Mytilus edulis: one gene and its partner. Each later gene encodes a partner of the first gene's protein in a complex. Links are inferred from orthologs where the notes say so. Each region holds a gene or a part of one and is shown on either strand. Other genes may lie near its edges.

The links.
Region 2: vacuolar protein sorting-associated protein 54-like (region 1) and vacuolar protein sorting-associated protein 52 homolog share a complex: the UniProt entries of both Caenorhabditis elegans proteins name them as parts of the golgi-associated retrograde protein (GARP) complex. The link is inferred for Mytilus edulis from reciprocal best matches to the Caenorhabditis elegans genes vps-54 and vps-52.

What each region holds. Positions count from the first base shown.
Region 1 is NC_092346.1:48,261,410-48,278,749, reverse strand, and holds the start of vacuolar protein sorting-associated protein 54-like, read left to right. Parts: upstream 1-9,066; 5' UTR 9,067-9,217; coding exon 9,218-9,470; intron 9,471-10,501; coding exon 10,502-10,788; intron 10,789-11,233; coding exon 11,234-11,306; intron 11,307-11,803; coding exon 11,804-11,838; intron 11,839-12,881; coding exon 12,882-13,010; intron 13,011-15,375; coding exon 15,376-15,518; intron 15,519-16,463; coding exon 16,464-16,563; intron 16,564-17,340. Other genes in the region: uncharacterized protein, read right to left, coding at 708-753. UniProt on the Caenorhabditis elegans protein: Acts as a component of the GARP complex that is involved in retrograde transport from early and late endosomes to the trans-Golgi network (TGN). The GARP complex facilitates tethering as well as SNARE complex assembly at the Golgi.
Region 2 is NC_092345.1:52,793,173-52,810,520, reverse strand, and holds the start of vacuolar protein sorting-associated protein 52 homolog, read left to right. Parts: upstream 1-7,991; 5' UTR 7,992-8,006; coding exon 8,007-8,018; intron 8,019-8,086; coding exon of another isoform or gene 8,087-8,089; exon of another isoform or gene 8,090-8,279; intron 8,280-9,399; coding exon 9,400-9,484; intron 9,485-9,961; coding exon 9,962-10,014; intron 10,015-10,481; coding exon 10,482-10,557; intron 10,558-13,117; coding exon 13,118-13,185; intron 13,186-14,678; coding exon 14,679-14,792; intron 14,793-17,348. Other genes in the region: small ribosomal subunit protein uS13, read right to left, coding at 2,713-2,788, 4,722-4,915, 5,916-6,002, 7,291-7,389, 7,951-7,962. UniProt on the Caenorhabditis elegans protein: Acts as a component of the GARP complex that is involved in retrograde transport from early and late endosomes to the trans-Golgi network (TGN). The GARP complex facilitates tethering as well as SNARE complex assembly at the Golgi.

The DNA of each region.
Region 1 (17,340 bases):
AACATTTGTAATAAAGAAAATGTTTTATGTAGCAACTCCGAGCATGCATTTCATTCGAGGTACGTGATTTCACTTTGAGCTTTCATAGAAGTTCGAATAACTTGGCCAGCAGGTGTTTTAATTGAAATAGAGTTGTTTTCAAACATGTTCAATAGTAAATTATAATTGTGTGCTAAATTATTTCTTCCGAAGGTTTTCAATGATATCTTAACACCGCTAGTTTTTGTTGCTACCTTGGAATTTTCTAACCTACGTATATTCATTTTCTATTGGTGGTAAAAATGTCCCAGCCCTCAAAACGGATCTACAAACTCTGCAGACAAAACATGCTTATTCTTTTGTTACTCTGTTATTGTCCTAAATGTGCATGAAATATATACCACTTGAAGTTCAGAAAACAACTAACTATCAACAATTCAATCAAAATATTAGTAATAATGAAGTTTAGTATTAATACATTTACTATGAAACGTAAAACTTGTGTCTCATCCGGTAGTTACGCTTTCGTACAATAAAATATGTTTTAACTAACGAAACATATAGTTTTAAGATGTGATTGACTTTTTGAATTCTAAGAGAAAATATCTGACATATGTTTGAGATGCAGAATCAATGTTAATTAGAAATTTCTATAAAAGTATTTCGGACATTTTGAAATTATCAAATTCAGTGCCAAACAATTGTGAAATATTGATTGCATAATTTACCTGCCGCTACTACCACCAAGAGGAGTATGCATATCCCTCGAGCCATGTTGGAGGATATGATGTTTGGATTATATGGCTCGGTTTATATAGTATATGGAATTAACCATATGTTACCATAAAGTATGTATTGTTACTGTAAAACAGTTTTGTTGTCTTTTCTTACACAACAACGGTATGTAATCTACAGTAAATACTTAGATGTGAAGGAATTAAACATACTTTTTCTCACTTCATTAGTATGTTTGATATTTCCTGTTTTGATATTTCCTGTTAAAATTATAGAACATGAAACCCTTGCGGAAATTAACAATACAGTTTACATTCGACCAAGGATTTCATCTAGTATTTCATTCTTCATTGTGTAAGGCATCTATTATGGTGTTATATAACAATAATACTACAATTAATTTATAATACTTAAAACACTTGAAGATCACCCGCAGTTGTTGTTTAGGTTTTTGTTGCTCAGTCTTGAGCTTTCTTTGTTGTGTTTTATGTACTACTGTTTGTCTGTTAGTCATTTTACTTTTTACGCCATGGCGTTATCAGTCGATTTTCATCCAGCGAGTTTGAATGTCCTTTTGGTATGATTCATCGCTCTTTCAAATGATATATCATTTTAACTATTCAGCTGTTTATATTTGTTTTGTGGTCTTTTTTGTGGGATAGATTTGGTTACTTTTTTCAGCTGATTTGTTTTGTTTTATATATCAACCTGTCTTTCTAATGTTATCAGGCTATCTCTACTATATGCCTGATATATGCATACCTCTACTATATGCATTTAGCATGAAGTTTTACATCAACAAGATAAAAAAAATCACTTTTATTCGTGTATGCTAACAGTTCTCAACACTTATTGCGAATACTGAAGCAATATTTTTCTACTTGTTTCTCCCCTTCTCGTGGCTCGGTACTTGTATATCCCGTAATTGTGTTATTGTGCTATGTTAAATTTTTGTATTATTGACTTTCAGTTTTGCATGTGTTCTTTGTTTATATGCCTTTTTGAGTTTCTTTGTTTGCGTTTTAGTAATTCAGATTATACCACAATGTTGACTGTTGTTTCCCTATTTTGACGTTTTATCTATATGCCTGTTTGTTTATTTCACACATCGCAGTCAGTTTAATGAAATTTTATTTGATTGTCAGAAAAGTGAGAGGTTAAGCTAGCTATAAAATCATGCAGGTTGTTATCCATTCGCTTAGTGTGTTTGAGCTTTTTATTTTGACATTTTATAGGGGACTTTCCATTTTGGATATTCCTCGGAGTTGGGTTTTTTGGTGATTTTCATTTTTTCTCATACAATTATAACTTCATTAATTTTGAATTTTTATTTTTTTTTATATATATATATTTTTTTTTTTGCGAAACCATAGTATGAATAAATTTATCAAAAAAACTGGTAGAGAAAAAAAGAGATGACGAAAAGATAGCTGAAATATATGTTTCATGTTCACTATTAACAATATACCATGTTACTCTTGAAATAAAATAAATCAACAGAATCAAATCGGGCTCTTTGATTTTATATATTAATGTATCAGCCATTCGATTGGAGCTGATTAAAGTTGAATATTCATTATCAAGTTCATGATGATACTACTGTAAAGCAATCAGAAAAAAATAATTATATAGTTAAGCTTATAATAAAAGTAAATTGGCTTTAAAGGGGGGAAAATGCAGTTGTCTCTGACAGATTTGTTGAGTTTTCGTTGCAGCACACCATTTGTTTATCAAAAAGTGTGCACTCATCCTTTTAAACCATTTGCCTCGATGATACCTGATAGCTCATATTCAAGAACAGCTGAGCATACATACTGAAATTATACGTTGATATGTCAGGATCTACCAGTGGGGAAAGAGTGTGAGAGGGTTAACCAACTGGAAGAAAATCAAAACATTCACCAAACATTATACAAAAACAAGTTTTGCTTTTTTAAAAGAAAACGCCTTTTTTTATAATAAGTGGGCTGTGTCATTTTTTATTCTCGAATAAGTAAACATGTTAACTTTGTTCTCATTAATTCAGTTGTGTATGTCTTATCGATCTATTTGTTGTATGCGCAGTAAGACTGTATTTTTAGATGGGGTGAATTCGCTCTAATAGTGTGTTTACATTTATTCTCTAAGCTTGCCATTACCTTAGAGAATTTAAGAATTCGTGTTTAATCTTTTAGTTTACATGTTGCCTTCGACTCTATTGTCGTCCTTGATATGTATCAACTATTTGATACTGGACAGTAATCAAATACAATCAATTAATCAATATCCTTTCCTTGTTTGATGAATATTGTAAATCGCATGTCTATTATTTGTGTTATATAAGACCACTTGTGTTATAGCAACTATGTTTAGAACAATAGTCATCTATGTACGTCAACCTTAACATTAATTGAATGATTATGTTTTAACATTGGCACTATATGACGCATTGGAAGAAGTAGATACCTTGGGTATTTTTCTGCTACCGTTGATGACACCATTTATGAGAATAACACTTGCAAACGCGAATAGAATGAAACAAATTAATTTTAATACCTTGTAATTGTGAATGTGCCAACAAACACATGTCAAGCAGTTAATATCAGCAAAAAGTAAAATCACAAAAATACTGAACTCCGAGGAATATTCAAAACGGAAAGTCCCTAATCAAATGGCAAAATCAAAGGATAAAACACATCAAACGAATGAACAACAACTGTCATATATCGGACTTGGTACCGGCATTTTCAAATAAAGCATTACCCATTTTCATTATCAATTTTATGTTCCCCAACTTTAAAATGTGTAGAAATAATTATGTATTCGTTGTATTTATCACTTTCAATTCATTATTGAAACATGGTAGCTTTCATGTAAAAAAAAGTCCGTCATAATCTTTTCCTTATAGAAAAACTGAGGATTTGGAGAACATATTGACTCGTGACTGAATCATAAAATTACAGGCAGGAATTAAATTCTGATTGAATGGTTGCTTGCTTCGTTAACATCCATTGTAACTTTTGAAGTCCAAGATCTAGGTGTAGACTTATAGTTGGCAAAGATGCAAATTTCAAAAACGTAGACTTTACACGTGTGGCTCACTTTTTTTTAACCTTACATGCATATTAATTCATATGTTGTCAAAAAAGCTTCATTTAACAAAGTTAATCAAACCGTTAGCATATAATACAATAGTGTCTTAATCTTCTTTTTTACATATATATGGAAATGTTTACATCTTGTTTGAAGTAAAATATTATTTATACGTTTGTAGATAGGATAAATGCAAATCTTGGTAAATGATATGAATAGGAATAAACATGATTCGTAGATATCAATAATGCAGAGCCCGCTAAATAATGGCAACAGTAGTATACCGCTGTTCAAAACTCATAAATCCATGGACAAAAAACAAAATCGGGGTAACAAACTAAAACTGAGGGAAACGCATTAAAATATTACAAACTAACAAACTAACACGACAGGGTTACAGTTTAGCATTTAATAGTAAGCATGCACCCACAATGAAAATCTATCTTGATCATATTTCTGGACGACTGGATTTTCTGTTAACATTTCCGGAATGTTAAGTTCACAAAAGAATGTGTGCATTGTATTGTCTTGTTATGAAATTTTATATTAAGATCTGTGTTTTGTAAATAAAAAAAATTAAGTGACGTAAATAATTTGAAATGGAAAATACGCTTTTCACAAATTAACAATATTTCAAGCTTGTCCTAATCAGATATATTGCATTCAAATTATTGGCTAGCTAGGAAGCATAATCTTAATTCTGGCATATTTTCTATGCAGAAAAACGTGTAAATTCAGGCAACATTAAACACGTTTGGATTACATTTTGAATTTATTGAAATATGTAAAATATTCTTAGAATATCGCGTATCAATGAGTGAACATGAACGAAATATTTATTCTGATAAACTATAACATAGCTACATGAAAACATACATAATATGATACAAACATCATGTGAATGTGTGAATAATGAACATGTTCAAAAACAAGAAAATTAGCTTGGTTGACTGACTTTTACAATTCTAATTTTGATAAATCTACAGAGTTGTTCAAGCACAACTTTGCTTGGCGAATCAAATAATTGATCCATTTTGCAAGCATTTGGGATTCGAACAATATACACTTTTATTTCAAAACTGTTGACATTATTTTATTGTTGTTTTTTTTTTAGTGAAATAATTTAAGCGAATGGTCCTACTTCTTTTCTAACGTCAAAACTATATTTCTAACACTTTCCGTGATAACATTATCATTAAAACAGTTTCATATATCAAACATTAACGTTTTAACAGTAATAAATACATATAGTATATTTACTGTCCTTTGATTGGTTAAAAGTATTACTTTTATTTTCAATGTTGTCAATTTTTATGGCGACACACCCACTCTGACGTTGTATATTTATACGCCAACATGTGTGTACGTTGTTATTGTTAATATGAATAATATAAAAAGTTCTTTGAGTCTTATTTTTGATAGAAATTTATTTATAATGAATGGCAATAATTTATTTTGAATTTATTAACCCATAAAATTAATTTTTGACTCTTCACATTTAATAATCCGCTTCGTTAATGTTTGACTCTTCACATTTAACATAATCCGCGAAGCGGATTATTAAATGTGAAGAGTCAAAAATTAATTTTATGGTTCAATAAATTCAAAAAAAATAAAAGCCATTCATTAAATATAGCGATATCCTAGTCATACTAACCTATCGAAAATAAACTGACAATGCAATTGTGAAAAAAAGAAAAAAAGACGACAAAATTATCAGTACAACCAAATCATTTCTTGTATGAAAATTGGAAGCGATTTATAATTGAATCGTACAAAACTTAAAGCAAGTGTACATAACGTTGAAGCTTATATACAACCCTTTTAGATTGAAAAATATAACTGCCAAAACCATGAAATTAACGACCAAATTTAACTTTTCGATTGTTTTGTTTTAATTTTTTCAGCATTGTTGTAACAATATAATGGAACTCAGGTTCGATCAATGATGTTTGCCCGGTATTGTGAAACTAAACAAAATGTGATTGTTATTTGTCAATGATATGGAATCCTCATGAAATATTTAATGTAAGTATGATCATAACTGTTGGGGGGGGGGGGATAATCAGAACATAGGAAATCGTAAAAATTTGTTTGAAACCTGGACACACAGGTTTAAAGGATAGAGTTATAGTTTGAAATTTGTACAAATTATCTCAAAGACATGAACAAACATTGAAATTCTAGAAAAACACTCAAAAGTGTTCATAGATTCGACAAATTCTCTAATGGAATGACAATCATAATGGTTACTAGAGCACACCCGTGAAATCGCGGGTCCGTGACTGAATTAAAGAATATAACTATGTTTAAGCCTTATTTTAGTATTGGGATTGTCATCTGATAAAGTCATGCCGATTGTAAGACGCGCAGTTTTCTCTGCTTTCTAAATCTTTCTGTTTGAACCCGTCGACCTTGAACTTATCAATTATTGGTAATATTAATTATTTGAAAACAAAAGGTCCTGGGATGGAGTATTTTTTTAATTAACAGCATTGTCCTATATTAGTTATTAATAAAGTTGAATTCTTTGATTCCTTGTTTTAAGTCATGCCTGCTAACAAATTGAAAACTGTACCTGTCATCTTAGAAAGTCTTACTGATTAAAATACTACAATAGAAACAATTTGACAATGAATGAAATCAGTAGTGTCAACCCTGTGATTACGACCCGTTTATATAGCAAAATCTGAAATACACCGTTGGTGGTGCGCCTGTTAGATGCGGGACGTACAGATAAGGTAATAGGTAACAGGTGAATATACTATTAGTATCGGTATCGGATTCGACCCGGAACTTGTTAATTATTGGCAAAAAAAGAAAAGTCTGGAGTGGTGTAATTTTTAATCAACACCATTGTCCTATATTGGATATATATAAAAATGAATTCTTTTATTTGCCGTTTTTACCACATCACGGCTGACAAATTGGACCTCGTTATTTTAGTATTGTAGATACGCTGAGTCCGATTAAATAAAGTTCTACCATCAAAGACCCCTCTTCAATGCGTTTTCTATCCATATACACCTTATAGCTTACGCTGTTTTTCAAACTTTCCTTACATCAACATTTCATGTTCAATGGGAGATAACTATGAAATTATTCTGCATTTGACTAAAAAAAAATTCAAGTAGATACAATAAATCAAGGGAGTTAATATGCCAAGGATTTTGAACAGTATAAAAATTATCTAAGTTTTTAAACGGGCACCATTCTAGATATACTTAAAATCTTCCAACATCCTCTACTAGGTGATGTTTTCTAATTTGTCATGACCTACTATTAAGTTTAAAACAGACGGACTTTCGCGGCAATAACACCTTAACGACGATTTCACTACATTTTTCTAGATATTGCTATTATCTTTACTTAAGGATTTCATGAACGTTTTAACTATATGCATGCATAGACGAACAATCTAATTCGAAAACTGCACACTTTTTGTTCTTATTTCTTTTATTTGAATAAACAACTGAAGCATAACGGTGCTTCATGCTCTCGCAAACCAAAATTTTAAAATTCAAGACATAACACCCTGGAACGACATGCTCGACCTTGGCGTAGTTGAACTGCAAGAATATGAAAATAAAGAGATGTATGCGTCTACTTCAATGAAACAGAAATCCAACGTTAAAACCACAGTATTGGAAAACAGTTTTTAAGAACACAGCAGGTTTTCATGCAATATGTATTATAATTGAAAAGAGAGGCAACAGATACCAAAGAGACCGTTAAACTGAAAAGACGAAAATCATATACTGACAACTAAAAATAATGGACAAACAGAAAAACAATGGTGCACCAAAAAACTGGGATTAATCTCATGTGCTCCGGAAGGGGTATACAAATCCTGCTCAATATGTGGCACCCGTCGTGTTGCCCGTGTATAGGTACTAACCCGTTGATATGTCTAATCAGTAGATAGATCATGGGACATTTTGTGAAATGGGCGGAATTGAAGTTAAAGTGAAACAGATATTCCGAAACGGTCAACCTTTTCATGAAAGCGTCCGTAAAACTTCAACTTCACCACTTTGTTTGTTTAATAGCCACTGCAGTTCCTTGTGAGCAGCACAATCTTATATCAATGAAATCTTGATAGGAAATAAAAGCCCTGGAAATAGTGAGTTTAATTATTAAAGTTGATATACATTCCTTGTGAATCTCCGTGAATTTTCATATGATTATTAGTCCAGCCTTCAATCTAACATAAATTTGACCCTAACCCGAAAGTAATTGCAACAGAAGATTTTTAAGTTTCAATCTTTAGCATTATATCCCAAATACACACAGAAAAAAGTCCCATAAAATTTAACTTGAGGTAGACTTAAAAAATCACCATTTAAAATTCCTATGGAGATTTGCATTGCAAAGGGGGATAACTCTTGCAAAAAAGGCAGAAATATCAATAAAAAGTGATACAAAATTATAACTTTACTGCTTCTATTCATCAGAATGTATTGATTCTTGATTTTTTAGCGGTCTTTAGAGTATAACAAACAACTCTAAACGTGTTTTCATATATTTTATCAAGCTATAATCTAGATTTCGTAATTCATTAGATGACCATTTATTGAATTTTTCAACATGTCAAGGTAAAGAATCTCAAATTTAATAAAAAAATAATTAAGCATGTATTCTTCTTTTTGTGGTTTAAAGTTTCTTTAGATAAGTAAGCTGCTGAAAAAATATAATATACAGATATAAACAATACCAAATTTCCACATTATTTTTTTCAAAATGGTTACAAAGCTTCAAATTTGCAATATCTTTGATGAAAAATGCACGAAAAAAATAAAACTACCCATAACACTTCGGTTTTATACATTTCATGAGCAAAAGATTATATAATTTAGTCAAATACAAACTTATAACCGGCCCCTCAAAGTATCATACTTTACATAAATTTCAAGAAAAACAACCCAAAACTGACCAAAAAAGACTCATTTTGCAGGAGTTATCTCCCTTTCCAATGTTAATTTCCATAGGAAATAAAAAAAATGATGATTTTGTGTTTTCCTCAAGTTAGATTGTATGCCGGGGACTTTTTTCTGTGGATACATGTATAAAGGGCATACTGCTATAGATTAGAACTAAAACATTTTCTGTTGCAATTAGTTTGAGGTTAAATCTTAGTTTGACTGGACTACATCTCAAAGTCAAACATTCAGGCGTCATCCAAAGCCACTGTCAATAGCAAAGATATGGTATTGATCCGTTGTGGCTGTCTATATTTTTAATTATTCTTTTGGGTTTAAGACATATTTTACCGTCATTGGTTCTAAATTTATTTCACCGGAAGTACGTCCAACAACAAAAATCTGAAACCGAAAAACAAATCGATGTCAATTTAATCCACATTTTAGGACATAAACCTATAAATAATGTAGACTGTACTTCATTAATTGAAAATGAAGTAACATTGACTGCAATGACCACTGTAAATAATGTACAAGGTGCACACATTTCACCTTGGAGACGATGCGGGTTGTGTTTGGTAGACTTTAAATCTTCCAAAGACTTTTGTCGTCATTTACGTCAAAGCCATTGTACAAAAGAAGGAGGATCATATGTTTGTAGATATGGAGCAAATAATATATGTCCATCACTACCTCTAGAGGGTGTCAGTGATATGGACTACGAAAATCATATAACAAGAGACCATGCAGGAAAGCACTTGCATGGTAGGTTTTCCCGTTTACTTTTATAACATAACCAACACACAAAAAAAGATAAATAACATTGGAAAATTACAAATAAAGGCTGTGCTCTACAATACCAATGAACAGGTTGGGAACAAGGATCTCCTGTAATTGGTGATCGCAATACTGGTATACCAGTATTGTCCACAATACTGGTATACCAGTATTGTCCACAATACTGGTACGGTGCAGTCCGGTGTATCTGCGCACCTAAGACTTATGACTTCACTTCATTCAACTGATAAAACAAATAAATGGATAATATTGTGTGAAAACATTCATAACATACTTTTATTTCATAAAACTATCTGTTTGTTTGGTTTCACCCCCAAGATTTTGTGCAACGTGTGTTCAAAATAAGAGAAACCCCTGTTCTGAGAGTTCCTTCAATGTCCGGTGATTTCGTGCATGCCTTCCAAAAATAGCTTATTTTAAATAAAGGAAAAATTTTCTGCTACGAAATATAGCTGAATTTGAACCAAGCACACTGCCAAGGATGAGAGCAAAACTTATCTCAATCTAATATAAATTTGACTTAAGTAGAACAAATTTTATCTGATGACGTAATTTTTTTAATGAACGTTGGCCAAATATTGTAAATCACGGGATTTGATGAAAACAGATGCATACATCATCTTAAAGATATTCTTAATATTTAATAAAAACTACACAATCACTTTTTTCCTTACAATAAATGCTTAATTTCTTCATCTATCAATATAATAAAAAAATTATCAATTTATTTTTTGCCCTTATATAAAAAAAGAATGAAATTCATATTTCTTTGTATTTTATTAAAAAAATTGTTGATCAATAACAAGCTTAAGACTGTTTTCAACCATGTTCGCCTTTTTCATGTTTGTATCAATACAACACCATCAATAAGTCACACGTTTTGTTTTTATGAATTAGAATTCACTTTATACAATAATTACAGTATTCAACAATTTAGAAATATTAGTTCATGTACATGTACATCTGCACTACATTTTGTTTTCCTTTTTAAATTCTAGCACATGGTAGGAACAGAAGTCTTGAATATAATGAAGCTTCACCACCACCTTCAGCGACAGACAATGCTCCATCAGTTGTACAGGATCAGTTAAGATGGACAGTATACAATGCTACAGTTAACCTACCAGCAGCATTAAATGATCCCAATAGAACAAAGAGAGAGACTGACTTCTTCACTAAAACCTGGGGACAAGATTTTTATGAGCATTCACATATTCCAAAATCAACTTATATACCAGATATCAGCAGAAAATATTTTGAGAAATATAAAAATAGGATTTCAAAAGTAAATATGATGTATGATAAGAACTAAATGTACTTCAAGACTAATAATAATTATATGTATTTTGAAAACAATGACACTCAGAAACTTGAAATTGTAGTTTCATAAGATGACATGTAAATTAGAAATTGTATAAAAAGCTTTGTGGGGTATACCTTAATGAGACCCAACCAACAGACTCCGGAAAAAAATTAAACATGATAAAATGTTCTTATATATCTTGTCCCTATCCATATGGTACTATATTAAAAAAAATTCACCATGCTAACAGCTTACTGATATATTTCCACCTGATGTGGAAATTTTATTAGGTTTATAAGAAATACTTTTATATAACTTAAAAGAGAAGTTCTCATCAATAGTCAGTCATATTGTTGAATTTGAGTTCATAGACATTTACAATTGTTTTATGTATTATAACTATTGTAATTCTGCTGTTACATTTTAGCGATACAAGAAGTACATCAGAAGTACAAGTAATTCTGATTCAGTTAGTGGTGAGACATACCTACATCAGTTAGGTGAGGTTACTTATGGACTGTGAGAAATAATAATACGATAATTTTGTTACAAAAAAAAAATCTTTTTTTCTGTCTATTGTGCATTTTTATAAACAACTAAGATAATTCAAACATGCATTAAAATAATTTTTTTTGTTTTATGTAGGGTGATTTACATGAACAGAACAGCATTAGAAATCTAATTGCCAAAATTTATAAATATAGACTGTACAGACTATCATATCAAAGAATAATTGTCAATTTTGTAATTTAGATATAAGTACTGGTAATAGATTTCCATATATACTAAGAAGCAAATATTTGTCTTAAAGTTTATTAAACAGATATTAAGTAACTAAAACAACTGGTTTTTTTTGGTCCATTTGAAATAAAGGTTGTTTATATCTTAAAGATTATTTTTACCAGACATTAGACAGGATTAATACTTTTTTTTAATTTTTTATTTTTTATTATATGAAATATTTTATAAATGTGAAGATGTGTTGTTGTTTTTTCAGAAAAGAGTAGATCAGAATTGCAAGAAATTCCAAAGGTATGACACTCTTTTTTTTATTAGACTTAGTATTCTCCTAAGACTCCCATTTCAGCATTAGGCATAAATGAAGGGTTTTCAAGAGAATGATGTATCATAATCTGTATGAAATCCATATTGAGTTATATGCCTTGACATCACATGGGATGCACTTGATTTGACTATTTTATTGAGGGTTGTATGTTATCTTATACATGTACTACTTGTCATTTTTTTTCTGGCAAAATTAATTATTTCAATTCTAAATTTAAGATAAATTGATTTATTGAATGATTATTGTAATAGTTCTTAAAAAGAATGAACAGCAATCAAGATTTATTGAATTATTTGTCACAAATTTTACAAAACACATTTAAATGGATTTATTAGCAGTTCCAAAATTAAATTACACCATTTATTTTAACACCATTAGTTTGGGCCTGGTTACCATATACCAGAAAGTAGTACATTTTTAACACAAAATAGTTCCTACACTTGGGTGTGACTTTCAAAATATGTAGAATATTTAGGTACTTTTGGTATCAAATGAAAACTTAATGGCTGGTGGTCATTGTAGAACACTTTTTGACTTATGATTTTGAATAATAAAAAAAATGCATGAAATTTAAAAAAGGGATACATTTTGACTGTTTGTCAGATCTGAAGTACCTATTTTTGGTACCTTCAAAGTTCTTTGAACCAGTTCTTTCTAATGTGCCATTAATGGTATGTTGTTTTTTCAGTACAAAAAACCAATAAGAGTTGTTTTGACATATAATGATTGTTGCTTTATTTGAACTAAAAACAAAGGAACTGTGCCTGCTTGAAATTGAGGAATGTATGTAGACAGCAATGGGGCCATTAATTAGTGTTCTTCCTATTAATTCTTATTTTTCAGTTGTAGAAACTAGGCAAAAACTCTTGAAAACAAAAATTGTTAGTATGAAAATGCAGATAATACATTATTAATTTGTATATACTGTATGATTGATATGTTTCATTTTACACATTTCAATATACATTGCAGTTGTGTATATTTATTTATGTATTATGTCTTGTTTCAGCTTTACCTGTTACAGAATTTTGATTTGGAACACACAGATACATTTAATTCTGTATTTCCGTGGTCTATGATAGAAGATTCTAAAAAGTCTTCACCCGGTCACCAGTCCTCAAAGTTACTGCAAGAAAAGGTATATTTTGTTATGATATAATATTTTCAAACATTTACACAACCAACATGACCAATGTAGAAAGGTTATCAATATTTTTTTTTTAATTTTGGTATTCAAAACAATCTATTTTTCACAAAAAATAATGTCCAGTTCTGACTGCTGCTAAAATGTATATGTATAGTATAACCTTTCATAAAGACTTTATAAGAAGACACTTAGTCACTCACAAGTCCAAAACAGGGCATGGCACTGCTCATCCATATTACTAATAAAGGATTTTTTTCTATTCATTATGTTATCATAATGTTTCCAAAAAAGAGTGACTCCCATGAAGTAAAATCTTTCTCAAATATTCATCATGAGCTGTTAATTAGTATTAACAAAATACACTTTGCAAAATTTAATGCAGTATTCTAACATGACGTCCTTCAAACGCTTTGAGTACACACCCGTGGTAAAATATGAATATATTGCCAGTGCTCAGGGTTTCCGCTGGCGGTCGCCATTTTCGCAATTTGCGAAAAAATAATAATTGTGGCGATAAAAATTCGTCATTTGCGAAAGAATTTGGCGAAAGAAATATATAGAACGATTTATTTTCCTCCATCTTGTTTATTTACTTTTTTCGAGTTTCTCAGACTTTACCTATCAGACAATTCTCGGAATTCACCTTGACATCATTAAGATTTGGACAAAAAAATCAATAATCAGCTGATTGCATTTTATAGCTATCGACAACAAAGGACTAATTAATAAAGGTGTTGATTGAATTGTTTGACAAAATGATATGGTTAAATGGCTTCCGCTAAATGTCACATACAGAATTTATTTACCACTTTGCGACGCACGTGTTTGAAGCAAACTTTTGACGTCTCCTCTCTTTTTAAAGATAGTTTAGAAAAGATAGCTGTTGTTGTGACGAAAAATTTTCAAAAACAAGAAAAATCTCCGATTTAAAACTTTAATTATCCTTTGACTTTAATAAAGGTATTTGATTCTAAAGGGAGACTACTTTAAAGTCGTTTGAGTGACACGTGTGTTTCAAGCATAGTTTTACGTCTCAACTTTTTCATTTACGATGGTCAAAAAATGAAACCTGCCGTTATGAAGAAATCTATCCAAAAGGTTGGGAACAACCCCTTGAATGAGAGTAGCCCTTCAATGTTAATATGACTACACATGAAATGAGGGATCAAAATATCATGTGATAAAAGCTTTTGTTTTGTTGTAAAAACCACTTCTTAGTACAAAATTAAAGGGCACATCAATATTTTTCTTTTAAAGAGACTTTCCCTATGAACTATACTGGTATTATATAATCAAAACCTGTCCATTAATTTTGTTGTATTCCAGGACTTATATCTTCTTTATTATTAAAAGTATAGTGGCCCCCTCATTTAGAAAAGTTGTTTAAAATACAATGAATATTTTCCCCTTTTATGTTAAAAACAAAATCTGTTGTTTTAAAGTAAATGTTTAGTGTTTATTCATTAAATGTAGACTCTAGAATAATCATAGACACAATTGGGCAAAATCACCTCATTTAAGGGAAAAAGGGGGTGGGGTGTAAGAAAAAAAGGTAAATCTTTAAAGAAAAATATAGTTATATCTTACTTGGCGAAAAAAATAATAAAGTGGCGAAAAATATATTGTTTTGGCGAAAGAGGTGGCGAAAAAAATAATTGACCCAGGGGAAACCCTGCCAGTGCTGTTCCGATTGTACTCCCACGTCATATGCTTTTTTATGAATGAGATACCCGACGTCATAGAACAATGACGTTAGAATGTAAGCATTTTACGGGAAAATACAGGCTTGTGAATCCGAAAATCATCACAAGGAAACATACACAAATGATGCTAAAATGTGGCAAAAGCCCTTTATTGTACATCATATAAGACATATAAATAAATTATCATTCAAATTCATCCAAAACTGTCTAAATACATTATTTCAAATAGTTTAAGCATGTCACTATACATGTAATGCAGTTTGCTCCGTTCTTTTACGCTAGTTTATTAGTGCGTTTATTTATGGGAACGGCAAATATTTGCCTACACCTAGAGCGCTTCGATCCAAAAGAATTGCCGTATGTGTCCTATCAGAATCGAAATAATTCATGGGGGCTTGAATATATCTAGATTTTACCACGGGTTGTCCCTTTATGCCGATATTTTACCCCTCGCTATCGCTCAGGGGTAAAATATTTGTCATAAAGGGCCAACCCGTGGTAAAATCACGATATACTCAAGCCCCCATGAATTATTTCTTAATTAGATTATAGCTCCTATAGCCATTACTATATATATCATTACATAGAAGTGATACTATTGATAAAGATTTTATGAATAAATGAATTGAGACAGTTTCTTTTGTTTTTTTTAGCTAAGTCATTATTTAGATATAATAGAAGTTCATATAGCCAGACAGATATCTACCAAGTCTGATGCCTTCTTTCAAGCTATGTCATCTCATGATAAACTACAAGAAGATATGATGAAAACATGTCAGTCTATCAAACAACTCAGGTAAGCTATGTCATCTCATGATAAACTACAAGAAGATATGATGAAAACATGTCAGTCTATCAAACAACTCATGTAAGCTATGTCATCTCATGATAAACTACAAGAAGATATGATGAAAACATGTCAGTCTATCAAACAACTCAGGTAAGTAGTATGTTATCTTATCAAGGAAATACAACCATCCATTGGAATAAGTTGATATTGATCAGGTTATTTGAATTCTTGCAGGTTGAATTGTCTCATTATGGATTGTCCACTGTAGTTTATTAATGGGATATTTAAATTTCTTCTGAACATCATTCTCTTTATTTATTTTGCTCATTTCTTTACCAGTGATATAGACACAGACCTCCCAGTCCTAGTTGATATACATGATATATGAATACATGTACATAGCATTAAATTCTATCACAGCTATTGGAGGGATTTAACTGCTCTGCTCAATACAAAATTGAGCTTGTTCCTAATTTTATTGTAATGCTTGCAAATCTGGAAAGGTTATTTTGTAAACTGTCAGATAATTATTTCTTACATATTCATTTTATATTTGTTCTAGTTGGCTGAATTATTGTGATATACTAGTATCTACAGACATGGGCCTTCATGTTGTATTTACACATCTAATATTCAGTCTGTCAAACATCTTGTTAGTTTTCTGTATATTATATTAATGTATTTTAGTCTACAGCTGATCCTTTATCTGTTTCCTGACACATAGTGTTGCTTGAAACTATATTATTTTGAGATAACAGCTGTGTATGTTGAAAAAAATAAATACTGCACAAGCAAGGTGAAATTATGGTTAGTGAGCACTTGTAGTTATAGAATAACTAATGGAATAACCACGTTTATTTCACATGTGAAATTATCGGTTTTTATTTAACTGGGAAATCAATGTAATTCATTGCAACCAAGGTAATAATAATGAATATATATGTTTGACAGGCATAAAGTACAGCAGATAGATGAAGTGTTAGCCAAAGGATCACTAAAAGTAATAAAATTACAGCAGGCAAGACGGAATCATATAAATTTGTATGAAAAGGTAAGAAAGAATTATACATAGTTGAATAGTAAGGTATCATGGATCTCATGTCTTTAGTAGTCCCTAAGTCTTTTTATAATAAAAATTTATAAATTAATTGATAAACAAAGGGTATGGGGTATAATCCATCTATGGCACAAAATTAGTACATGCACAGCACAAACACACAAAAAGTAAAAGAAGAGCGCTTTTATTACTGTTCTACATATCAAATTCTAATGCAACAACGTTTGTAACGTTCATTTTGATTGGATAACGTCACTTTCTTACATGGCATCAATTGACAATTGATGCTATGGGACGTACGCGCAAGCGCAGACAGCATATGACAGATTTTAAATACATGTTTTAACGTTGTTTTCTGTCAGTTTCATTAGAAAGGAGATAACAATATTGTATTTTAAGCCTTGACGGCATCAATTTGGGATTTGATGGTCGCAACGCGTCGCCAGTAAACTTAATTTGCGACCATCAAATCCCCTATTGATGCCGTCGAAGCTTAAAATACAATACAGTTATCTCCTAAGTCACAGGGAGATATGCAATACAGAGTAAAATAATGGTACCTCACTGTCAGTTTAAGACTGCTCTAGTAAGGTCTTGAGTGGGATTGTTGACAAAAATGATTTGGATAGACTTTGTTCCACATTACGCCACCACATTGTGCCTGCTTAAAAAATACATACTACAAAGTAGAACTCATTTTCAATTGTATGCATCTGATGTGAATATATTTTTACAGTAGTTCTGTGCTATTTTGTTGTTGTTGCCCTATTA
Region 2 (17,348 bases), on another chromosome or scaffold:
CGTACTATGCATTGTAAAAAATATTCCTTTCTCCATTACTTTATACCTTACAACAAAATTATTTTCATTATTTTATGTGGCGGCATTTTGTTGAAGGTTATGGTTGTCTTTTTGATATTGTATAACATCTTGGTTATATTTTATTGATTTTGAAACTACATCATCACATAAATCAAATTTGTTTGTTCAATGTTATGTTCTCTTGTTAGTGTTTATGTCTTTTATTTGAGTTAAGCCATCTCAATTGATATTTTAGGGCGTGTCTTTCTTTGTTTTGATGTGTAACTGTTGTTTCAGGTAAGAGTGAAGGTTGGTACCTATAACGTTTAAACTCATTGCAATTGTTTGGACCTAGGAACCTGATGTTCAGTGGTTGTTTATTGATGTGGTTTATAAGTGGTTTTTTTTATTAAATAGATTAGACCATTGTGTTCCTGTTTGAATATTTTTACACTAGTAATTTTTCGGGCCCTTAATAGCTTGTTCAGTGTGAGCCAAGTCTCTATGTTGAAGACCATACTTTTTCCTATATCAGTTTACTTTTATAAATTGTGACTTGGATGGAGAGTTGTCTCATACCACATCTTCTTATTATACCCCTGCTTTGAAAAAAGGGGGTATACTGTTTTAACTCTGTCTGTCCGTCAGTCCATCCAAACCTTGTACTATTTTACACATGATAACCAAGTTGAAAATATTCGTCACATTTTTCTCAGGAACTACAATACAAGGATTTCTGAAATTTGGTTTCAGGATTTATACAAGTCAGCTATACCGTGTGATGCATTTTCAGATTCATCACTAAACAACTTCCTGTTTAACGAACACTTGCATATTTTAACACACTTGTGGCAGGGGTATCATCAGTGAGCAGTAGCTCAGTTTCATTTGTATCTATAATACTAAAATTACGAGGTCCAATTTGTCAGCCGTCATCAGGTAAAAACGACAAATCAAAGAATTCAACTCTATATAGAATTGATATAGGACAATGGTGTAGATTAAAAATTACACCACTCCAGACCCTTTTGTTTTCCACATAATTAATATTGCCAATAATTAACAAGTTCCGGGTCGAATCCGATACCGATACCAATAGTATATTCACCTGTTAGCTATTACCTTATCTGTACGTTCCGCATTTGACAGGCGCACCACCAAACGGTGTATTTAGGATTTTGCTATATACACGGGTCATAATCAAATGGCTGAAAATACTCCATTCCTAGATAGCCAGGACCTTTTGTTTTCCAAATAATTAATATTACCAATAATTGATAAGTTCCAGGTCGACGGGTTCAAACAGAAAGATTTGAAAGCAAAAAAACCTGTGTATCTCATAATCGACATGACTTTTATCAGATGACAATACCAATTACTAAAATAAGGCTTAGGCATAGTTATATATACTTTAAGTCAGTCACGGACCCGCGGTATCACGGGTGTGTACTTGTTTTATCTAAATATAGTTGACCTATTGCGTATATTATAAAAGGAACAAACTTAACCATGAAACTTAATGAAAAATGAAAATGAGGTCATGGTGTGCTGACAATTGCCAGACAGACATATGCATCTTACAATCATTCCATGCACCAAATAAATTTGACCTAAGTTTTAGAAAAAGACCAATAACTCAACATTATGCAATGAATAGTTAATTTGATGTCAATGTCAAATAAACCATACTTGACTGACATGTATATCCTAAAATATTTTCATATGCCAAATATAGTTGACCAATTGCATACATTAGAAAAATAGACCAAAACACAAAAACTTAACCATTTAAATGAGTTCAATGTCAGAAGACACCTGCCAGTTGGACATGTACACCTTTATACAGTCATTTCAAACACAAAATATACTATAATAGTTGACCTTTTGCTAATAGAATAGTATCTTGAGATATGGACTCGACAAAAACTTAACCTTGTTCAGATCCATGAAATAAGGAAGAGTTCAAGTAAAAACTGTCTGACAGGCATGCAGACCTTGCAAAATATGATTAATCATAAGAGTGAAATTAGGAATAATTAAATTTTTAACTTTTTTTCAAGTCGTCAATGAACCAAGAAAATGAGGTCAATGACAATGGACATATGACCGAAGGAAACTTCATAACATAAGGCATCTATATACAAAGTATCAAGGATTTTCAACCTTCTGACCCTATGTCATGCATTTAGCAACAGAAATCCCAGACTCGACAATCAAAATGATAGCTTATAGATTTTCCCCCTAATTTTGTTTTGACCAGAAGGCAGAAATGACAATTTGGGTTTTCCTTAGAATTCAACCACCAAAAAAAAATAATATGCACCGGAGGTCATGTGACACAATATTCCTGTGGGTCCCAAAGCTTACATTAAAGTATCATGTCAAACTTGTGTTTGCATGTTATGAGTATGTGAGGAATACTGGTACAATATACTGACATCCCATAGATTGTAAATAAAACGTAAATAAAACATAAATAGAACAACTTTTCTATCACAAAAAAATATAGGCCAGGTAAAAAAGAAGTTGGAAAGCTGATATTTTTTTTTTTTAGATGTATCTGTTTTAAATCTAGCTTTTGCATCCTGCAAACCAGTAAATGTAAACAATGTATTCAAACATATAAATGTAAGACAAATTTTGGACAATCCACATGCCATGGATAAAAGATATTGCAACAAGTAAGTCCTTTCACTGCCTTTATTAACAATTTTACTTCTTCTTGGCTACACCAACAGTTCTTCCACGTCTTCCTGTGGTCTTTGTATGTTGACCTCTGACTCTCAATCTGAAAATAGACAAAATATGTAATCACTATAACCCATTCCGTACGCATGATATAGAATGTAGGATTTTTCTTGGGCATCAAATACAGCAATTAACAAATGGAGAATTGTGTCCACGAGACACAGATGATACTGTAAAAGTGACACAACCCAAACCAGGGATGGGGTAATTAAAAATGTAATGGTAATTAAGTGTAATGCATTACAATTTTCCATGTAATTGAATGTAATGTGTAATTGAGCATTTTTTTAATTACATGTAATGGTAATTTAATTAATTACATTGAAAAAAGCATGTAATGCTCAATTACTTTTGAATTACATTTCAATTACATGTACTTTTATGGCGTTACAGTTAAGGATTTGTGTTTTATAATATAATTTGTAAAATTATATATATTTTTCAAATATTAATATCAATGCTTTTTTAATATATGAAGTCTGTAATTTTTTCTTAAGTTTTTATATATTTTATTTGACCTACAGATTTTTTTTTAATAGTCTTATAATTTAAAAAATGTGATAATCATATATATTAGGGTTGTTCAGTTTTTAAGAAAGATCTTTAACTAAATAGATTAATAAGTAATAAGCACCTTGTTAAACAAAAACAATAAAATGTGTCACTGTGAAACATCTTTCTGAGACAGTTCATTTAGAATTTAAAATCACTGCATACAATCATTTTGTCAAATTAGTATACACAAAAGGATTATAGAAATAAAAATTAACAGCTGTAAAAACAAACAGCAATTAATCAGATTAAAATGTCCAGAGGCAATGCCACTATTACAGATATTTTATCTAATTAGCAAAATATTGCTAATATTGAGACATTATATACATTGTTTGTACTAAAAATTATTTTCAATATTGTGACAAGCACTTTTTTATATTTTTAAAGTAAAATAAAAAAATATTTTAAATTTATTTATAATTTCCTTATTCATATTATGTTTAATTCAAATGAGTTCATTTCTGAGATGTCAAAATACCCCTTGATGTATTAGCAAGTTAATAGGAACAAATTCCCTCTCCTATCAATATAATGATCTTCTAATCGAAAAACTTCCATGTCCTGATCAAACAATATCTTTTACCATATTAGCTCCTGTCGAAAGACTATGTACAATTGCTGTTTTCAGACCAGAGAGATTCAGAATAATTGACAAAACATTAAAATAGACTATGTACAATTGCTGTTTTTAGACCAAAGAGATTCAGAATAATTGACAAAACATTAAAATAACTATATTAAATGATTATCAAATGCAACGCTTAAACTCTGCTTACATGAAAATTTTACACATGCATTATATAAACATGTAAATTATTTGCTAAAAAATATCATGATGAAATGTAATGTGTAATTTAATTAATTACTTTAGTAAAGTAATTGTAATTTAATTAATTACATTTCAAAAACTGTGTAATGTGTAATTAGTGTAATTGACCATTTTTGCAATGTAATGTGTAATTTAATTAATTACATTCCAATGTAATTGACCCCAAGTCTGACCCAAACTAAACTTGATCTGTGTTTTGTCAAATTGTGGTAATAAGCATTTTGTACCAGTTTCATAAATATTGGTTGAGACAACTAAAATGGTAATCGTATTATCATAAATCTTAATGACCCTCTGCTGCAGTGGGGGCAAACAAACTTCAACAGACACTTACAAATGAATCTGACTGTGTTGCTATCAGAAAGAGGGATCTATAATGACTAAGGCATGGCATAACAAATATTTTTTTTCAACTTGAATTTAAACCAGCTTATATTTGTAGGCAATAATAATAAACTTCTTTATCTAATCCTCCAAAAGTATTACTATTTCTAGACTCTAGGTTGATGCCTTTAAAGACTCATATAGCAAGTTATTAAAGAATTGCTGCTATCTAAGGGAGTATTTAACAAGAATTTGTAGCGCTTACCCCCAGTAGTGTCGAAGTCCTCTATGATTTCTGATTTTCTTCAGTCTTTCTAAATCCTCTCTAAGTTTGTTATCCAGGGCATTGGACATAACCTGGCTGAATTTTCCATCCTTGACATCCTTTTGTCTGTTGAGGAACCAATCAGGGATTTTGTACTGTCTTGGATTGGACATGATGGTGATGACCTTTTCAATCTACAAGGTGGAAAACACAATAATGCAAATCATTTTTTTCAAAAGGAGAATTTCAAAATAACTGTAATAGAACTATAATAATCCCTATCTGATCAATGGAGACAGATAAGTGCAAACATGGATAATTAATTATCCAACACCTAAAAATGGGTGGCATACCCCTTTGAACTATTTACATTTCAATGCAACTGTCTCTATACAAACAGAGTGCAGAACAACATGGTGTTTTCTTCATAACCCTAATGGGTTTAATTCATATAAATTTTGTAGATGCATGTTAATTTTGTTTGTAAATGTTGATGCTAATTTATACAGGTTCAAGCCGTTGTTTCATTACATAAAAAACATTTTTTTCAGTTTCTACACAAACAAAAGTTAGGGGTAAAAGCACAAACCATTCAAGGTTCGTTATAACCATTTTGCTAATAAGGCCAAAAACATATATGTCCGTTTCCTGCTGCCAAGGCGAATAATTCAGGGTCGGTAGGTTTTTTGTTCTATTTTTTGCACTCCCTGTCAGATTTGCAGGCGGTTCAATGTCATGTTTGGTTAGGGTCTTGTCCCCCAAAATGAGTTGATCTCTTTAAAGAAGCTATAATTGACTTCTCCTCCCTATGCCGACGTTTTTTAAACCTTAATTGTAGCACATTTGTGCTGGGAGCAGCCATTTTGATTGTTTGGGCATAGTAAGATACGGATCTGGATTGGAAACGATTTTTTTCAGGAATTTAAATATGACCGTATTTTCACCATAAATTTCATTCTGAGTACTGAGATCGAATCAAATGAAACTGGTGTGTAAACAGTGTTTGTTTAACTTTATTTTGCTGGACCGTATCAAATGAAACTTGTGTGTGTTTGTTTCTTTCGCTTTCTTCTACAGACTGGAAAAAAATGCACTTCCAAATCTAGACAAGTTCCCAATTTTCTGAAACATAAACTACATAACTTTTATATATTTAGGTCTTTCCATTTAATTATGTATTTAATTATAACAAACCTCTTCTTCACTGAGTTCTCCTGCTCTCTTGGTAATGTCAACATCAGCCTTTTTACAAACAACATTGGCATAACGTCTACCAATACCCTGAAACAATAAAACACCAATATTATCTTATTCATAAGTAATGTATCTTTGATCCAACTCTTTACAAGATTATAAGTATCAGTTCATTTAGTACAGTATTATAGGGTTATTGCATGAATATTGGGGAATATTGTCCCGAGTAGAACTTTATATTGCACGAGCTTGCGAGTGCAATATATGTTCTACGAGGGACAATATTCCCCAATATTCATGCAATAACCCTTTTATTGTATAGCAATATAATATTTGAAAGTAAAACTTAGTTTAAGGTTCATCATAACAAATGGACATATATGGCCGTATTTTTACCTCAAAAACTACTCTGTGTACAGACTTACCTGTGCTGTTTGAAAAGTTTTAATGCCTAGCATCCACTAGATATATAAAAGTTAAATGCATTTTGTGTTTAAGAAAGATAAAATCTTTCTTGGTTTTTGCTGGGCATTTTTTTCCTTTCTTCAGAAGGTGCAAAAATAAACAAACACCTGCATTACTTTGATACTGTCCACTCACTGACTCAGATAAACTCTTTAACTCACCTATAGATGTCAAGATACCTGTTGTCCATGTCAATTAAGGACAATGAAAACAATACAAACCGGTTTTTTACCTGAGGGAGCATCTCATAGTTGTTCCACAACTTAGTCAATTTTCACACCTTTTGCATGAAGGAAAAAAAATGCCCATCAAAATCCAAAAGAAATTTTATCTTTCTGAAACACAAAATGGATTTAACTTTTTCATATCTAGTGGATGCTAGGCATTAAAACTTTTCCAACTTTACAGGTAAGTCTGTACTCAGAGTAATTTTTGGCATGTAAATACAGCCATATTTGTCCGTTTGTTATGATGAACCTTAAACTATGATTATGTCGTTGATGACGTCATGAATTTTGAAGATTTAATGCATTAGTGCAATATTGGAATTTATTGCACGCTAACTTTTGGTTACTTTCTGTTGGAAATATTATATTGCTATGCAATAATATAGTTTATGAAAAGCATTTATATGTAAAGATATTGAAATTGAATCCATCGGAAAAATAAAGAACAATGCTTATTTACCATATTGATATACAAAAGTTTTCAAAGAGATATTTAATCACTCATCAGTGTATAATAAGAACAGAAAAATTTGGTTAAAAAGATATTTTAAATACAAAATTATTTCATGCTACATGCAAGTCTCAGAGGGCTTTTCAGTATCTATTTTTGTCTTGCAGTTTTGTGGAGCATTAAAACTAGTCTATTATATATTATCAAAATTATCAGTCATCCTTAAGCTTACCTTGATGGCAGTCATTGCGAACATTATGTTCCTGCGACCATCAATATTCGTATTCATAATACGAAGAATGTGTTGAAACTTCTCTGGCAGTATCAATGCCTAAAAAAATATAAATCAGACATTTATGTTTAAAACATTTAATTTTGATAAACTGTTATTACAAAACAGATAAAAATATATTTAACACTATCGATGCAACTAAACAGATACATAAAATAATTCAATAATAAAATGACATTTTAGATCCAATATTGACCTAGTTAACATTCACCCAAATAATCAAAATGGGTTGAAAATGGGACAACTTCTGAAACTCATAGATCTTATTTTTTTAAAAGTTGAACCAAACACAACCCGTGGGACACATATTTCTGCAAGGTGGTAAGACTTTCATCAATGTAAAGAACAAGATATAGAACATCAGCCTTCCTATAGGCTATAAACTATGTTACATGGATATATTATTATCTTTCGAATCTAAATTGGGTTGGTTCAATTGAATTAAATCACAATAAACCTTTAGAGAAAAAGCATACTTATTCGGATTCGTCGTGTTTTATCTGGAGTTTTATTTTTCAGGGCTTCAACTTGTTTTAACGTCGTTTGTCCCGAACTAGAGGACCCCCATTTATATCCATAATAGGATCTCTCTGCATATACCCTGTGCACCATTTATTCGCAAAAGACATTATTTAATAATTTATGATGCTATTCTTATGAAAAATAGGGTAGGATGATTTCAAATTATTCGAATAAGGATGGATATATTTCAGATATTTAGCACTATCTAACTAACCATGTTGAAGATTTAACCGGAAAAGGAAGTAGTAACAAATGAAGGGAGATAATTTTCTTGCCAGTGATACATTCTGACAGTTAAAATTTACAAGATATAATCCCTTGGACAGTTTATTGCTTATTTTGTCCAGTTACAGTCGAAACATAACTTTATCACACAATTTTACTTGTACATTCAGCGAATTACATGGGTATATTACTATAGTTATTCTTAAAATATCACTGACTATAAAAAAAAACTGTGTCGGTTCTCAGAACTGCCTTGGTCGTTTTGGTCATGTACCACTTCAGCAATACAATAAAAAGATAAAGTGGTTACGACTTAACTTAGCTAAATTGTTCAATTATCTCATTAAATATACTAACATAGCTGTAGTAAAATTGATTATTTATGAGACAATAGACTTTCGGGTCGATCCTGCCCCACGTCGATCCGGCCCAAGTCGATCTGTCCCACGTCGATCCGTCCCCACTTTGATCCGGCCCATATGTAAAGTCGATCCGGCCCCAATAAAAAATATATTTATTTATAAGGAATAAGAATAAAGATATATATTAATTGTAATTCATAAATGTTTATGATTTTTATTAATGTAAAAGGTGTATGTTAAAAAAAAATAAAAAAGGCCTTTGAAAAATATTTTCTTTAGATAGTATAAAACAACTATGTTGATTATGTTTTTATTAGGCACTTGCTCTGGTTACATTGCAATTTAAAATATTTAAAAAGTTATTGTTACATTGGAGTCTAATTACCAGAATACATGGTTGGGTAAGGAACTGATTATTTATGAATATAGCAATAATATTCTTTATATTGAAAGAATGTTTGGTCTTCTGTCAGTCTGAGGTTTGTAGTGGACTCAAGGCAACAACAAAAAAAGAATATCAGGGGATGCACTGCAGCACATGAACTCAATAGCTACATGTACATGTATGACCAGTTCTTGAAATTAAAGACCAGTTTTTAACAGGTTCTAAAAATTCATTTGATATTCTCCAGATTTTAATTACTTTACCTTTTTTTTAACTTATTTTCAGGATGTACATTTTTTTTTAGAGAGACACAGTTTAAATTTTTGTTTGTTAAAAACAAACACAATCTTGTAGTACATCATCTAGGTTACTGGTAACATTTATTCAGAATCAAAGTGTTCAGTTCTGTGCTCTTGGCTGTGTGTTTGCTATTGCATTCTTAAACAGTAAATTTTCCATTAAACATGTTAAAAGCTTGATTATTTTTGATGATGGAATGTTTTTAAAGAATGAAACCATTTTCACATAAACATTATATGTCTTATTTATTTACAGATCATGGATTCCCATGACACTATGGATTTAAACCTTGGTGAGCTAGATATTACATCTGAAGATTACTGGCTTGATGAGGTTGATGGTAAGAGCTACAAAATGTAGAATTTATCAGTATTTGAATGGAAAGAAATGTCTACTATGGATTTATTATTATTCATTGGAGTCTTGGAGACCAATTTCTTTATTAATTTGGTTGGAACCAGGAATTCCAATGTCAAACATTTGAAAAAATGTCCATTAGAATTTATGCCGACTTGGGCAAAACTGTGAAATCCAATATCCACAAAAATGCAGCATAAATTTGCCATATTGTAAGCATTTAAGAAATTGGAGGCAGTTAGCAAGTTCTGCTGACAGCTTATCTAGTTGTAGAGATGTTACAATAAAGAAAATTTATAAGTGTTTGTTATATATACTCAAATGTGATTATTTGGAAGATACATATAGGTAATTAGTTGAATGCAAGTGTTTGTTAATAATCAGATGTGATAGACACAATCTGCTGTAGTATCTATGTTGAATATGTCTGTGTGTAGGAAATTCTTTCTTTTTATTACAGTACACATACAACAGAATCTAGAAGATGAAATTGTCAAAGAAGCCCTGAACACTGTATGTATATTCATGTAATGATTGTAATGTGGTCATTGTAAATATGCGTAGATGTTTATAGTATAAAATAACAATTAAATAGTTAAGCATACACATAAAGGATTTAGGTAATCATCAATTAGACAGAAACAAACAACTCGGGTTACGCAAAACAAACATCTTTTATAAATAGTTAAGCTTTAATTGCTTTCTTTAATTTGGAGTCTTCACAATCAGTGATCATTGATTATTTCAATCCAATGAATGAAAATAAACATCATTAACCATTTTAACCTTTGAAAGTCTTCAGTTTAATGCATGAAATAAATACAATGCAACTTGAATTTTAAAAATATTGTATAAAAAAAAACATTTGACTTTTACAAACTGTGACTCGGATGGAGATAGAGTTGTCTCATTGGCACCCATACCACATCTTTTTGTATCTAATTATAAAAGTAACATGATTCTCACATATTTTTTTTCAGGGAGTGGATTTAAGACAGTATTCCAAAAATGTAGAGAAGGAACTCCTAGGTGTAGAAAATCAATCAATACAAGACTGTATCCATACTGAAAAACCTAGGTTAAACAATCATAGTTATAAATAGTGACCTAATATCATTTAACTGTGTTTAAGAATGCATTTTATTTTCTTGGTGGGTTTAATGCCTATTGGTGGCTTTTGGCTGTTTTTATACGACCGCAAACATTGAAAATTTTTTGGTCTTATATTGGTATCACGTTGGTGTCATCATCGGCATCCAAAGACTTTTGGTTTTCGCACTATAACTTTAGTATAAGTGAATAGAAATCTATGAAATTTAAACACAAGGTTCATGACCACAACAGGAAGGTTGGAGTTGATTTTGGAAGTTTTGGTCCCAACAGTTTGGGAATTAGGGGCCAAAAAGGGCCCAAATAAGCATTTTCTTGGTTTTTGCGCTATAACTTTAGTTTTAGTAAATAGAAATCTATGAAATTTTGACACAAGGTTTGTGACCACAAAAGGAAGGTTGGGATTGATTTTGGGAGTTTTGGTCCTAACAGTTTAGGAATTAGGGGCCAAAAAAGGGCCCAAATAAGCATTATTCTTGGTTTTTGCACAATAACTTTAGTATAAGTAAATATAAATCAATGAAATTTAAACACAAGGTTTATGACCACTAAAGGAAGGTTGTGATTGATTTTGGGAGTTTTGGTCCCAACAGTTTAGGAATTAAGGCCCAAAAGGGGGCCCAAATAAGCATTTTTCTTGGTTTTTTTTACACAATAACTTTAGTATAAGTAAATAGAAATCTATGAAATTTAAACACAAGGTTTATGACCATAAAAGGAAGGTTGGGATTGATTTTGGGAGTTTTGGTCCCCACAGTTTAGGAATAAGGGGACCAAAGGGTTCAAAATTAAACTTTGTTTGATTTCCTCAAAAATTGAATAATTGGGGTTCTTTGATATGCCAAATCTTACTGTGTATGTAGATTCTTAATTTTTGGTCCCGTTTCCAAATTAATCTACATTAAGGTCGAAAGGGTCCAAAATTAAACTAAGTTTGATTTTAACAAAAATTGAATTCTTGGGGTTCTTTGATATGCTGAATCTAAACATGTACTTAGATTTTTGATTATTGGCCCAGTTACTAGTTGGTCCAAATCGGGGTCCAAAATTAAACTTTGTTTGATTTCAACAAAAATTTAATTCTTGGGGTTCTTTGATATGCTGAATCTAAACATGTACTTAGATTTTTTATTATGGGCCCAGTTTTCAAGTTGGTCCAAATTGTGGTCCAAAATTAAACTTTGTTTGATATCAATAAAAATTGAATCCTTGGGGTTCTTTAATATGCTGAATCTTAACATGTATTTAGATTTTTGATTATAGGTCCAGTGTTCAAGTTGGTCCAAATTGGGGTCCAAAATTAAACTTTGTTTAATTTCAACAAAAATTGTATATTTGGGGTTCTTTGATATATGCTTAATCTAACCATGTATTTGGATTTTTGATGTTTGGGCCCGGTTATCAAATTGGTCCACATTGAGGTCTAAAGGGTCCAAAATTGAACTCTATTTGATTTCATCAAAAATTGAATTCTTGGGTTCTTTGATATGCTGAATCTAATCATGTATTTTGATTTTGGATATTGGACCATAATAGGTAATGTCCGATTTAAAATTTAAAATTTTTAAGTTTTAAGTTCTGAGACCACATTCATTATGTGTCAGAAACCTTTGTTGTGTCAACTATTTAATCACAATCCAAATTCAGAGCTGAATCCAGCTTGAATGTTGTGTCCATACTTGCCCCAACCATTCAGGGTTCAACCTCTGCGGTCGTATAAAGCTGCGCCCTGCGGAGTATCTGGTTTACTCTTTGGTCTGGTTGTTGTCTCTCTGGCACATTCCCCATTTGCATTCTCAATTTTATTTAACACCACAAAACACAGATCAAGTCTGAATTTGGGTTGTGCCACTTTCACCAGTCTAGAGTTATAAATTTATGCCCATTTACAAATGGACTATTGCTGAATTTTCATTTCTGTTCTCTAACTTTAGTTTGCCTCAACCAAATGAAATGAAACTTATACACAATACTTATTACAAAAAAAACACAGTTTATGTTTGAATTTTGGTGGCATCACTTTTACTATTCTAAAGTTATGCCCCTTTATAAATGGAAAAATTGCTGAATTTTTTTGTTCCTTTTTCTAACTTTAGTTCACTTCAAATAAATATTATGAAACTTATATGCAATGCTTATTACCACTAAACATAGATCAAGTTTAAATTTTGTTGGCCTCACTTTTACTGAGTTATGTCCTTTTACAATTGGAAAAATTGCTAATTTTTTTAGTTTTGTTCTCTAACTTAAGTTTACCTCTAGCAAATGTTAAGAAACTTATTCACAATGCTTATTACCACAAAACACAGGTTAAGTTTAAATTGGGTAGTGTCACTTATTCATTTGTTGAGTATTGTCTCTTTAAAATCTTATAAGCAGTGGGGGCATCATCTGTGTCCCATGGACACATTCCCCATTTATATAAGTTTAAGCCATATTGATTTTGTAAACAGTTGAACGAGAATTTCTTTTTTAAACTTCCATCATTGACCTTAACACTAATAAGACCTTAAGAAGGGTGAGGACATAGCAAATTTACACAAACAGATATCTGCCTGTGATACCATTTTAGAGGTAAGCTATTTAACTGTAAAGAGTATTAACTACATTGTAATAGAATAAACTACATTGTAATAGAATGAACTACAATGTAATAGAATTAACTATATGGTAATAGAATAAACTACTTTATATATAGAATAAGAATAAGAATATAAGAATAAGTAGAGATGCAAATACTGGTAAAACTAGTGGGTTTCTAATGTCCGAGACCTATTGTTTAGTATTGGTTTAAACTTGGTATGGTACCAGCAGTCTGGTATAAATATATCATTAGATGTAATAAAAACTAGGTTAAAAGATCAATATATCCAAAGCTGGTTTGCATCTATACAGGATTGTGAGAAACTTACTATGTACAGAATTTTAAAATTATATTTTTGTTTTGAAGATTACGTAGATTATATTCACAAAGCTACATAGTGGTACTATGAAGTTAAATGTTGAGGTAGGGCATTATACAAATATACTAAGAGAAAACAGATTATCATATGTACTTGCTGTAATATGAAAATTGTTGAAGATAGGTACCATTTTACTTTAGTGTGTCCTGTGTATAGACATGTATGGCTACAGTTTTTACCAAATTATTACTGTTCGTGGCCAAATGTGACAAAATTGTGTATTTGTATCAAACAAAATCTAGATCTTTAGTTGGAAAACTATGTAATTATTTGAAATCTGCCTGGCAGATTACATTGTAGATCACATCTAATAAGTTGATCATTTGTCTATTGTAATATCTAATTATATTGTTTTCTGTTGTTTATTGTGTTTCACAATGTAAATATGTTTGTGTTGCTATAGCATGTTACTACTGCTTTGCAAATAAAGAATTCATTCATTCATTCAATAAGAATATTTATTATTCCAATCAAGGGCCCTTGATGGGCAGCATAACATGTACACATAAAACAATACATCATTTAACAAAAAAACATTTTTATATACTAAAATGAAACATTAAAAAGTTCAGACAGATGTTATTATCTTCATTCTATAAAAATCACATACATTTTATTCATATACCGGGTAATTATATATGATATATTATTTTCTCCAAAAATTGAATTAAAGACCCTATCAAAAACCAATTTAGATATAATTCACTAAGCTAAGCACAGTGTCACAATTTGTTAACTACATGTATTATGGTAACTTTCTATCATTTAAGGGAATATACATGTTTCAGACATTTATGGTCAACTTTAAAAGAGTGCAGCTCTGTTAATTCCTACTCTCAATGAGAACTGTGCTCATAAGGTCAAGTTTACTACTGTATAATAAATCAGAGTTTGCGAAATCTTTTTTCCCCTGTTGGTCCTTGAAGAAAATCTGCTGGTCCTCACTATTAATCTATTGAAAAATACTAAAATTGTGCCAGTCCTATGCAAAATTTTGGTGGTGAAATCCTGAGGACTGACACTTTTCGTGAACTCTGATAAAATAGGTTTTCTTACCTGTGGTTAATGGATAATTTTACACAACAATTGTAATTACATTTTCAGAGAATGGAACAAATGTTAAATGGTTTCCAGGGTGATTTGAGTAGTATTAGTACAGAAATACAGACTTTACAAGAACAGTCAGTTACCATGAATGTAAAACTTAAAAATAGACAGGTAATCTGATAATTATCATAAACAATTGTAGGATTTTAAATAGTTTGCAGAGTAGCTCTTTGACAATAAAAAGTAGCAGGAGAAATAGTGGAATGATTGCATGCTGAACAATAGACCACTTTCGAGTTCATTTGTCACGGTAAAAACTCGTCAATTATACAGGCCTTTATGACGTCATTTACCAGATTGAGGGGGTCGCCTATCCCTGCACTATTTACGTTCATCAAGCGTCTTAGTGATCATCATTGTGCAGGATAAACTAGAAATAATGGTTGTTTTGTAGGTACTTAATGAAAATTCCCTAATGACAGCAGTGCCGATTTTCAATTTTGAGAATTCAATTTGCAGAATAATTTGTACAATATAGAATTATAAATTTCCAACCACTCTCTCAACATTGGAATGGATGTGACGATGCCCCTAAGCACACAAATGACGTTCACTAACATAAGAGTTTTTGACGGAAATGCATCGAACTCGAAAGTTGTCTATATTACTATGAATATAAAACTTCAATCACAAGACAGATTATCAAAGAAAATAGTTTTCAGGAGCAGTACTTTGGATTTATTATTATTTTTTGGGTACCAATTTTCGTGGATTACGTGTATAGTGACTTTTGGAAATGAAGAAATTTAATGTCCACAAAAATACAAATTTTCCTTAATCCACTAAAAATTGATACCCATGAAAATAAATGAATCCACAGTATTTGAGGGAAAAAGGGAGGAGTTAGTCACCACATCAAAATCAGCTGTCATCTTGACCACAATTTATCTTTAGCATATTTAGTTTTAAAAGTTGATCTTACAAAGGCACTGATTTAAGGATTAAATCTGTTCACTGAATTTGAAGGTATAACACTTTTGAAATGCTTTTGTGATTGAGTCTAGGCAAAATTTGGGTTGAAATTTGATAAGATAAACACTGTTTATAATTCACATGTGCTAGTAAGTCTCCTTGTAAGACATACAATTTAAAAAAACCTGACACTAGTCTCATGTTCATAAATCATAGCAAATATTTTGTATTTTGGAGGTCCACACAGTAATGTATAATCGTAAATATAGATAATGTCTTATTTCTGTTGTCCTTGACCTCATTTTTATATGACCGCAAAAATTGAAAATGTTTTGGTCGTATATTGGTATGATGTTGGCGTCATCGTCTGCGTCGTCGTCGTCGTCCGAATACTTTTAGTTTTCGCACTCTAACTTTAGTAAAAGTGAATAGAAATCTATGAAATTTTAACACAAGGTTTATGACCACAAAAGAAAGGTTGGGATTGATTTTGGGAGTTTTGGTCCCAATATTTTAGGAAATAGGGGCCAAAAAGGGCCCAAATAAGCATTTTCTTGGTTTTTGCACTATAACTTTAGTTTAAGTAAATAAAAATCTATGAAATTTTGACACAAGGTTTATGACCACAAAAGGAAGGTTGGGATTGATTTTGTGATGTTTGGTTCCAACAGTTTAGGAATTAGGGGCCAAAAAAGGGCCCAAATAAGCATTATTCTTGGTTTTCGCACAATAACTTTAGTATAAGTAAATAGAAATCAATGAAATGTAAACACAAGGTTTATGACCACAAAAGCAAGGTTGGGATTGATTTTGAGAGTTGATGTCCCAACAGTTTAGGAATTAGGGGCCAAAAAGGGGCCCAAATAAGCATTATTCTTGGTTTTCGCACCATAACTTTAGTATAAGTAAATAGAAATCTATGTAATTTAAACACAAGGTTTATGACTATAAAAGGAAGGTTGGGTTTGATTTTGGGAGTTTTGGTCCCAACAGTTTAGGAATAAGGGGCCCAAAGGGTCCAAAATTGAACTTTGTTTGATTTCATCAAAAATTGAATAATTGGGGTTCTTTGATATACCGAATCTAACTGTGTATGTAGATTTTTAAGTTTTGGTCCCGTTTTCAAATTGGTCTACATTAAGGTCCAAAGGGTCCAAAATTAAACTTAGTTTGATTTTAACAAAAATTGAATCCTTGGGGTTCTTTGATATGCTGAATATAAAAATGTACTTAGATTTTTGATTATTGGTCCAGTTTTCAAGTTGGTCCAAATCGGGGTCCAAAATTAAACTTTGTTTGATTTCATCAAAAATTGAATAATTGGGGTTCTTTGATATGCCAAATCTAACTGTGTATGTAGATTCTTAATTTTTGGTCCCGTTTTCAAATTGGTCTACATTAAAGTCCAAAGGGTCCAAAATTAAACTAAGTTTGATTTTAACAAAAAATGAATTCTTGGGCTTTTTTGATATGCTGAATCTAAAAATGACTTGTACTTAGATTTTTGATTATGGACCCAGTTTTCAAGTTGGTTCAAATCAGGATCCAAAATTATTATATTAAGTATTGTGCAATAGCAAGAAATTTTCAATTGCACAGTATTCAGCAATAGCAAGAAATCTTCAATTGCACAGTATTGTGCAATAGCAAGAAATTTTCAATTGCACAGTATTGCGCAATAGCAAGAAATATTCAATTGCACAGTATTGTGCAATAGCAAATATTTTCAATTGCACAGTATTGCGCAATAGCAAG